Linked DNA regions of Xenopus tropicalis. The protein of the gene in region 1 purifies or fractionates together with the protein of each later gene. This does not show direct contact. Links are inferred from orthologs where the notes say so. Each region holds a gene or a part of one and is shown on either strand. Other genes may lie near its edges.

Region 1 (4,324 bases):
TCATAATGTTATTTTGATGATAGGTCTTCTTTAAGAATAAGAAGACTCAAGGGATTACAAGTCTCACCTTGGGGGGCAGTGGAGGAGGGGAATCCCCTGTGGGTGATGTATCGTTGCTTTGATCAACATTTTGAGGGCTAGTAAAAAAAATAATGTGATCAAGGGTAAGTTTTTATTTCAATAACAATCTCAATATACATTCTGTTAATACAAACCTGGCATAAATATCAGTATAATATAGCTTTCCCATTAATTCGACAGCTAAGTATGTTAATATAATGGTGAGTAAATACAAATATATTACATAAACAATGAGCCAGTATGTTAAGAACCATGTATAAATCTGGCACTAAATAGACAGATCCTCTTTATTGGTGTCTGATTTGTCTACCCAAGTGGTGGCCAATTTGGGCTGATCCGACTGTTTGTCCTCCAGGCCAGTAATCAGTCATCCGGGGGGTCTAGGGAGCCGATTTAAAGATGAATTTAGTGACAGCCAGACATACAAAAACTGTCATAAGTGGCCACACCGGCAGACAGTATAAACCAATGCACAGCCTGCTTAATCTGTATATTTATATGGAAAGCTATTGATACTTTAAATTAAAAACTAAAAAGACAAGCCCTTCTGTAGGGTCATTGCTTTGACTTGCCTGTTTGGATGCACATGTGGGGGGTAAAGGCCCTTCCGCTTTTTCTCATGTTGAGTGATTTGACTGGATCACTCAGCTGTCCAAATGTCCAGACCCAAATAAATTAGCTTTATTTCATTGGGTTAAAAAAGCACATTAAACTATTCTGTGGTAAGCCTAATACCAGAATAACTAGATATGCTGCCATCATAGAATGAGCCTGTGGTGCCCACATACACCTGTCTTATCTTTGACTTCAAAAAACTTACATGTCAACATCATCATAGTCATCATCTTCATCTGAAAAGCTGACACGAAAACGAGATGATTAACACTCCTGCACATGCATAGCAAAAGCCATTACTGTTGTTTGCTAGACTTGCAGGCCATGTAGCCAGCCAACTGACTGATATTTATATTCTGATCCTGATTTGCACTTTACATTGAATACTCAATTGTGCATGGTAAAGCATGCAGGTCATTTTATTCAGCATATTGTCAGTACATGTTGCTTATTTTGTAGGCACACCACAATGCTATTCCTCTGTATTGTATTCTTGCTTGCATTAAGTGACCATCACAAAAAAGAATAAATGCAGAGAAATATACATGGTGGTTTGTCCGCAAAATAACTACACTGATTGATTTGTTTCTCAAATGGGCTAAATATGGGCCTTGGGTTAAATGAAAAGTATGAAAATTGTTTCTGAGGAATAGCTAAATGCTGTCTGGTATTATTATTATTATTATTATTAACATGTATTTATAAAGCGCCAACATATTCCACAGCGCAGTACAATAAGTGGGTTTATACACTGGACATACAGAGTAACATATAAAGCAACCAATAATTGATACAAGAGGTGAGGAGGGCAGTGCCAATAGATTTTACAATTTATAAGGAGAAGGGGTTGATAAACAACTTGTTATCAACTTGCCTTGTATGTATTCATTAATTAGAAAGATGGAAAGGTAGATTATAGTAGATGTCATCTACTTATCTACTATATCTACTATATCTACTATACTATATCATATATATATAAGGTTTTGCCTAAAGAACTACAGGAGAAACTGAAGTCTGTTCATTTATGGGCTGTTACATGTAAATGGTAAGAACAGCGGTTAGAGGATTATGTGTAGAAAGCAGTTAATGGTGGTTTGTTCTCTAATTTGATTAAAGGAAATGTACACTCTTAAAACAAACTCAGGAAATTACACAGAGGAAAAAGCATTTATAAGAAACTTTTTTTGTTTTCCCACTGGTGACTGACATTATTGGTAGTGGGAAAACATATTCAGAAGATTTGTTGCTGAGGAAACAAATCTCGCCATGCGCATTACCCTTAGAGCAGCTAAAATAAGATGTGAAACAACTTGACAAATGGGTTTGCTTTACATCACCCTCAGTAATAATGATTCCAGCTACATTGTCAAGTCAACAATTTTAAACACTTTAAAATTCCCAGTCTTTTACGGAACCCTGTGATACTAGGGCACAAAAAGAGAGAGAATATTTAACATAACCTACAAAATTAGTATTACAATAATTACATGATGACTTTAAAGTTGCATGAACCTGCACCAGCATGGCCGGGGGTATTGGAAATAAAATAAACAATTGCTCTCACCTCCTTGTGGAGGCTGGGCTGATCGGTCTCACCCTTAGGCCGTAATCCATGCCAGGAAATTTATCCTAAAAATAAAATTATAACATAGCTTAGGTTCAGGAGATTCATACATAAGCACATATATACAGCATTTTGTAAGACAATGCTGATAAAAAAAAGATGGTAATAGTCCCAACAGAATAACCAGTCAAAAGAGGGCTCAGGTGCACCACTCTAAAGGTGTCTATACACGGGCCGATTGTAGCTGCCGATATCGGTCCCTTGGACCGATTTGGCAGCTTATCGGCCCGTGTAGGGGCAGGAACGAGGAACATGCCTGACTGCCCTGAAATTGGCCAGATATTGATCGGGCAGGTTAAAAGATTAAGTCGGATCGAGCTGATGCGTTCCCCAAACCAATTGCCCCATTGCCACCATTATAATTTGATCGTTTGGCCCTGGGGGGGGGGGGGCGAATTAACCTACTTTTTCCCCGATATCGCATACCCATAGGTGGGAAGATCCGCTCTCTTGGCGACCTCACCTTCACATGTATGGGCACCTTTAGTCTTCAGTTAGGGAAGCAGAATCAACCAACTGTGTAGGAGCAGGCACTCACTGAGCAATCCTCCAAACAAGCTTGTAAGACAGGGCCAGCCTTATATGTTTTGTGTTATATTAACACATAGGGGCTGATTTACTAAGACACGAATTCGAATCCGAATTGGAAAAATTCCGATTGGAAAACGAACATTTTGCGTCTTTTTCGTATTTTTTGCGGTTTTTTTCGGCGCCTTTACGACTTTTCGGAAATTGTCGTGACTTTTTAGTTACCAATACGATTATCGCGAAAAAAGGCGAGTTTTTCGTAGCCATTACGATTCGCTCATATCTTGTCGCGACTTTTTCGTATTGAGCGTTCGTAAGCGGCAGCCGAAACTTTCAGACTTAGCATGATTTTGGAAGCCTCCCATAGGACTCAATGGCACCCTGCAGCTCCAACCTGGCCCAAGAAAAGTCACCATACTGAAGCTTGAATGAATCCGAACGCTACGAAAAAATCGCAACATTTTGCGCAACTTTTGGAATGGCTATGAAAAACTCGCGTTTTTTCGCGCAAATCGTATTGGTAACTAAAAAGTCGAGACAATTTTCCGAAAAAATCGCAAAATACCGATCATTACGAAAAAAACGCAATCGGACGCATTCGCCCCGTTCTGGGTTAGTAAATGTGCCCCTTAGTCATAGGCTTATGATTAAATACATAAGGCTGCTTCTGTTTGTACAAAAAATGGCAGCTTTGGATTTTACATGCATGTGCGGATGATTGCTCATTGAGTGCCTGCTCCTATACAATCAGTGAGCTTCTTTACTCACAGCAGGGCAGGATGCAAGTTAAAAATAGAGGTGCAAGCCACCATGTTTTTTTGCATTTAAGGCTGATGCCACACGAGACGTAGGGCTGATATTTTCGGCAAGCGGAAAAATGCTTTCAGATTGAATGAGATACGCTCGGGTGCAGGCACATGTAGCCGATATACGCATGAAAACGCGTGAGAATGCAAAGTCTCGCGTTTTCATGCGTATATCGGCTACATGTGCCTGCACCCGAGCGTATTCTGGCACGTCTGGCATCAGCCTAACACCCTGCCTATAGGTGTACAAGGATAAGGACAGAATGAAGCACAAGGGCCTGAACTCACCTACTGAATACAACACTGCTGAATGGAGGGTCTACCGCCCCCTAACTTGTACACTACATAATTTACATGTTTGGATGTTATAGAGTGGCTGTGGGTGCAGTGTTAAAAGGAATCCTAAAAACTGGATTGCCATGCGCTGCAGCTGCACCTCTGGAGGGATTTTTAATCCAGCGTGAGATGCAAAGTGCATGCATGTGCCCGATGCAAGTGCTTTTTGGAGTTTTGCACCCCTATATGCTTAAGGTTCCTCTCCTGTTTTTGCCAGTCACACAGTGTGTAAACTGTAGAACAATCATGTTTATTTTATTCCTAAGAGCAACTGAGGCTTACTGAAATATTAATATGATATATCCCCATGGATAGATGAATTGCACATATC
Region 2 (4,764 bases), on another chromosome or scaffold:
GTTATTGATTGTGCGCCATTGAAGGCGACCGATAACGGAAAATTTACGTTCAGGGCTGAATCGGCAGAAGGAAGTAGAATTTCTATTGTTTTTACCATATCTGATGATTCAGTCCTGAAGGTCTGTGGAGAGTGGGAAAGAACTTTCGTGCGATCATTGAAATTGCTACGTGTATGGCCACCTTTAGAGATTAGTCGCCCACGGTAACGAAGATTTGTTGCGGGGCGACTAATCTCCCCGTATGTCACTGCCCTTAGGGTGAGATATGGATAAATAAAACTTACTTGCTATCTAAATATGCCTGGAACAGTGGCTGAATGCCTGATGCACTGATATTTTAATTTATCTAAAACATTTTTATGAGCAGGGCCCTGACCAAAGGTTATACCTCCAAGGAGTCTTGAACTGAAAAAAAAAATCTGACAACCTTTCACTCATGTGTGATGTGTTCTGCAGGAGCGCTGCCAGAACAGAGACGACTGGTTCATCCCATGGCAAAGCTGCCAGTCTACATTTAAAATAGCTTCTGCATGGGCAGATTCAAAAACTGTAATGCCAATGACAACATTTAAAAAATCGAAAAATCACCAAGAAATGACACATATGGAAGATAGTAAAACTTAAAGAGGGTACACAGTCCTACACCCACCACAAAATATACTCTAGGGGGCAGAATTAACAATGAAACACATTCATTTGTGCCAGAAAATAGTGAGTGAATTTTAGTCAAGTCTGGGAAAAAAAAAGACAAGTCTCCTTGTGGAAATATGACAATGTTTCACAAAAGTACTGTATGTTATTACAGTGATAATGGTTGACTTGAGAGCGAGTGAAAGCAAAAGTCAACACAATGGTATGAAAACAGACATTTCCAATCGTTCAATATCACCCAGTTGCTCAGGCCCCTAAATCAATCACGGGGGTACCCTAACTTGTTTATTTGTACCTTCCATCGGACCAACACGAACTTTCCGAACCAAGCATCTACCAGGGACTTGATTTCCTTCCTTATCCAGCCACGGTTTCATATTGTACATTTCCAGGAAACTGCGGGATCGCTCCGGTTTGACGGTAACCGGACAACAGCAAGTACCCGAATTCTCTCCCCGCCGCTCTGGTCGGTGCCTGAAATGAAAACACACAAAGCCATCGCTCTCTGTGAACTGACTGAAATAGTGGCGAAGCTGGGCAGAGCGGAACGAACGAGGAATTCCATACACAACAAAAACAACTGAAGCACCACTTGGATCCGTCATCTTGGCAGTGGGGTAGTTCCGGTCTTTACTTTCCACCATCTTGCTACAGGAAATTACAGTCCATAACGCCCCGCCATCTTAGAAGAGGAAAACTACACCTAGTTTACCGGCACGTCACCACGTGGAGTGGTTAAAAACTACAATGGACTTAGTATATAATCGGCAAAAAGTAACATATTACAATAAATTATAAAACGTGTCCCAACTCTGGTATTCGGTACATGTTGTTTGTTGCGCATGCTCGACTGGTGCCCTATCTCTAAAACGCCATATATTCCAGAACCATCGTGTAGCTTGATTAATGTTGCTATAGCAACTCTAGCAGTGTAGATTTCTTTTCGCTGATTGGTTATAAGCTCCTGGAAGGGGCGGGGTTAGCGTAAGACCCGGTAGCAGTGCAGCATCTGGCGAACTGAGCAGCATGGCGGCCTCCGGAGAGGATGAACGATTTGATGCAATGTTGTTGGCTATGGCCCAGCAACATGAAGGAGGAGTGCAAGAGGTGAGAAATTATTTAAGGCAATGGTAATCCCTGTGTTTTAATTTATATTTTTCAAAATCACAGTTGTTACAGAAGTCAAAATATGTTCAAGTCGCTTTAAATGCTGCAAAAGTTGGCCAAGGCATAACTATTGCGTGCGTTTTTTTTCTTTTAAATGTAGCTTTCCTGCACACCCTTCATGTTGTAGGGCTTAAATATTGCTGTTCCTTAGGGAAATATACCAGAAATTGGATTTGATCTTACTCACTGAAGAGGAAGTCTCAAAACTGTTGTCTTCCTCTGACCTTACTACCTGCCTGCTTGATCCCATTCCTACCAAACTTCTACGTAATGCCAACCCCTGTCTTATCAAAGCCTTAACTCATCTATTCAATCTCTCACTCTTTACTGGAATCTTTCCCTCCCAACTGAAACATGCACTTGTAACCCCTATTCTGAAAAAACCCTCCCTTGATCCCTTCAATCCTACTAACCTCCGACCTATCTCTCTGCTCCCATTCATCTCCAAACTGCTTGAGCGCCTAGTCTACAACCGACTGACGCTATTCCTCTCTGACAATAACCTCCTGGATCCCCTACAATCTGGTTTTAGATAACAACACTCCACCGAAACTGCTCTAACCCAACGAACAAATTACCTCCTATCGGCTAAAGCCAAAGAACACTACTCGCTACTAATACTTCTCGATCTCTCTGCTGCTTTTGACACTGTGGATCACCCTCTTCTCCTCCAGACTCTCCGCTCTCTTGGCCTTCGTGACACAGCCTTATCCTGGTTTTCATCTTATCTCTCAGATCGATCCTTCAGTGTCTCTTACAATGGGGAATCATCTTCTCCCTTGCCTCTTTCTGTCGGGGTTCCCCAAGGCTCTGTCCTGGGCCCCTTACTATTTTCTCTCTATACCTCCTCACTTGGCAAATTAATCAATTCTTGTGGCTTTCAGTACCACCTCTCTTTCCTCTCCTGATCTCAACCCAGAGCTTCTAACTCGCGTCTCTTCCTGCCTGTCCGCTTGGATGTCCAAACATTACCTTAAATTAAACCTCTCTAAGACTGAATTGGTTCTCTTTCCCCCATCCAACGCCCACATTGTTCCCGAGGTATCTGTAACGGTTAACAATTCTACCATCACCCCATCTTCCCAGGCCCGGTGCCTTGGGGTTATCCTTGATTCTGCCCTCTCCTTCACTCCTCATATCCAATCACTTACCAAATCATGTCACTTTCACCTAAGAAATATTTCCAAAATACGATCATTTATCACCCAAGATGCTGCCAAAATTCTTATTCACTCTCTTATAATATCTCGCCTGGACTACTGTAACTCCCTGTTAATTGGCCTTCCCCTCCAAAGACTGTCCCCACTCCAGTCCATAATGAATACTGCTGCCAGGCTAATACACCTCTCCAATCGCTCCTTCTCTGCCATGCCAATCCCTGCACTTTCCCACTTTTTTTTTGCTCCTACAATAGAACTGCTGACCATTGCAATGAGATTCTACCAGGTTTTCCAGCCTCTTCCTTGGCCCATTTACAGAAAATAATCTCCTTTGATGTGCAGCGCAGTTGCTGATTCTGCTCCTGCCACTAACACGCTCTGCACTTACCTCCTTGGTGTCTGAGAGGGTCAATGGGGTGCTACATCGCTAGTGCAGAGATCGCTATTGTTCTCTCTGCATTAGAAAAAACAAATTTCCCTTTTAATAAACAAGATATTTGGCTGTTAAACATAATAGAGGCTGCTTTTTTAGTGTAAATCTTTCGCTTTAGAAGGAATGTAGCAACTTTAGAAAGATACAGGATATCCCTGACATAGGCCCTGTTATTTGTTGTTCATGTTGTGTTTCACCAACATCTGGGTATTTTTGTATGCTGTATATAGTTCATGGCTGAGTATGGTGTGCAAACTCATATATTCAATGGCACGCAAGTTAAGGCCCCCATACACAGGCCGATAGAAGCTGCCGATATCGGTCCCTTGGACAGACTCTGCAGCTTATCTGCCTGTGTAGGGGCAGAAACGAGCGGGCTGGCCGACCGATATCTGGCCTGAAATTGGGCAGATATCGACCGGCCGGGTTAGAAAATCCAGTCAGATCGGGGACCGCATCGGCTCGTTGATGCGGTCCCCGAACCGACTGCCCCATTGCCGCCTACATAATTATTATTATTATTTTTTTTTAACTTCAAGCTCCCCAATATCGCCCACCCGTGGGGATATCGGGGGAAGATCCGCTCGCTTGGCGATCTCGCCAAGCGAGCGGATCTTACCGTGTATGGGGACCTTTAGATTTTCAAATCATCTTCCTTTATTGCAGATCTAATTTCTTTGTTTTTTTTCTCTCCCTCTAAAGTTGGTAAACACATTCTTCAGTTTTCTGAGGCGCAAGACTGACTTCTTTGTTGGAGGAGAAAATGCTGCAGCTGAAAAGGTGAGAAAGAGCTGAACAGTTGTTCACCAAATTTTTGCAGAAATGCATTATATTCGTGTTGAAAGCAAGGTTACAAAAACAGATGAAGCCAGCTAATATGCTCTTTCAATATACAGTATGTTGGCTAACTCATCAATACACAGCATGTTAACTAGTTCAGTCTGTTCTTCATTAGGTTTCTTATCTGGCCTCCACATCTATGATTACATGTATACTCCTTGTTGACCTATAATTTTTTTCCAGATACTCAAGTTTGATACATTGTCATTTGTTTGATATACGATGTGACTAGTTAGTTGTTCCCTGGAGAATGTTTTTCTATGTATTCTTTTTTTTTTTTTTTTTCTAATTTCTGTTATAATCAGTTTGTTAGAACAGTTTCTCCACAGGGGGCAAACCTACATTATGGTTTGTTGATAAATGTGGCAGCAGATTCTCAGCAACACAATAATGTTGTGAGAAAAGCTGTTGATAAACAGGCTGATGCGAGTTGCCTACTCCAAATTGAGCTGAAAGCCTGTTGGTCTATGTATGGGCCATAACCATGGCCGGCCTGTTGTCTATTGGGCAGAC

Evidence for each region. The genes of interacting proteins can lie anywhere in the genome.
Region 2: the proteins of map4k1 (region 1) and nudc purify together in Homo sapiens (affinity purification with mass spectrometry; 3 studies listed by BioGRID and IntAct, with this or other methods). This does not show direct contact. The link is inferred for Xenopus tropicalis from reciprocal best matches to the Homo sapiens genes MAP4K1 and NUDC.

Annotation. Positions count from the first base shown.
Region 1 is NC_030684.2:80,423,493-80,427,816, forward strand, and holds part of map4k1 (mitogen-activated protein kinase kinase kinase kinase 1), read right to left. Parts: intron 2,329-4,324; coding exon 2,264-2,328; intron 941-2,263; coding exon 902-940; intron 138-901; coding exon 68-137; intron 1-67. UniProt on the Homo sapiens protein: Serine/threonine-protein kinase, which plays a role in the response to environmental stress. Appears to act upstream of the JUN N-terminal pathway.
Region 2 is NC_030678.2:77,784,769-77,789,532, forward strand, and holds the start of nudc (nuclear migration protein nudC), read left to right. Parts: upstream 1-1,665; 5' UTR 1,666-1,677; coding exon 1,678-1,758; intron 1,759-4,113; coding exon 4,114-4,191; intron 4,192-4,764. Other genes in the region: gpatch3 (G patch domain-containing protein 3), read right to left, coding at 947-1,256. UniProt on the Homo sapiens protein: Plays a role in neurogenesis and neuronal migration. Necessary for correct formation of mitotic spindles and chromosome separation during mitosis. Necessary for cytokinesis and cell proliferation.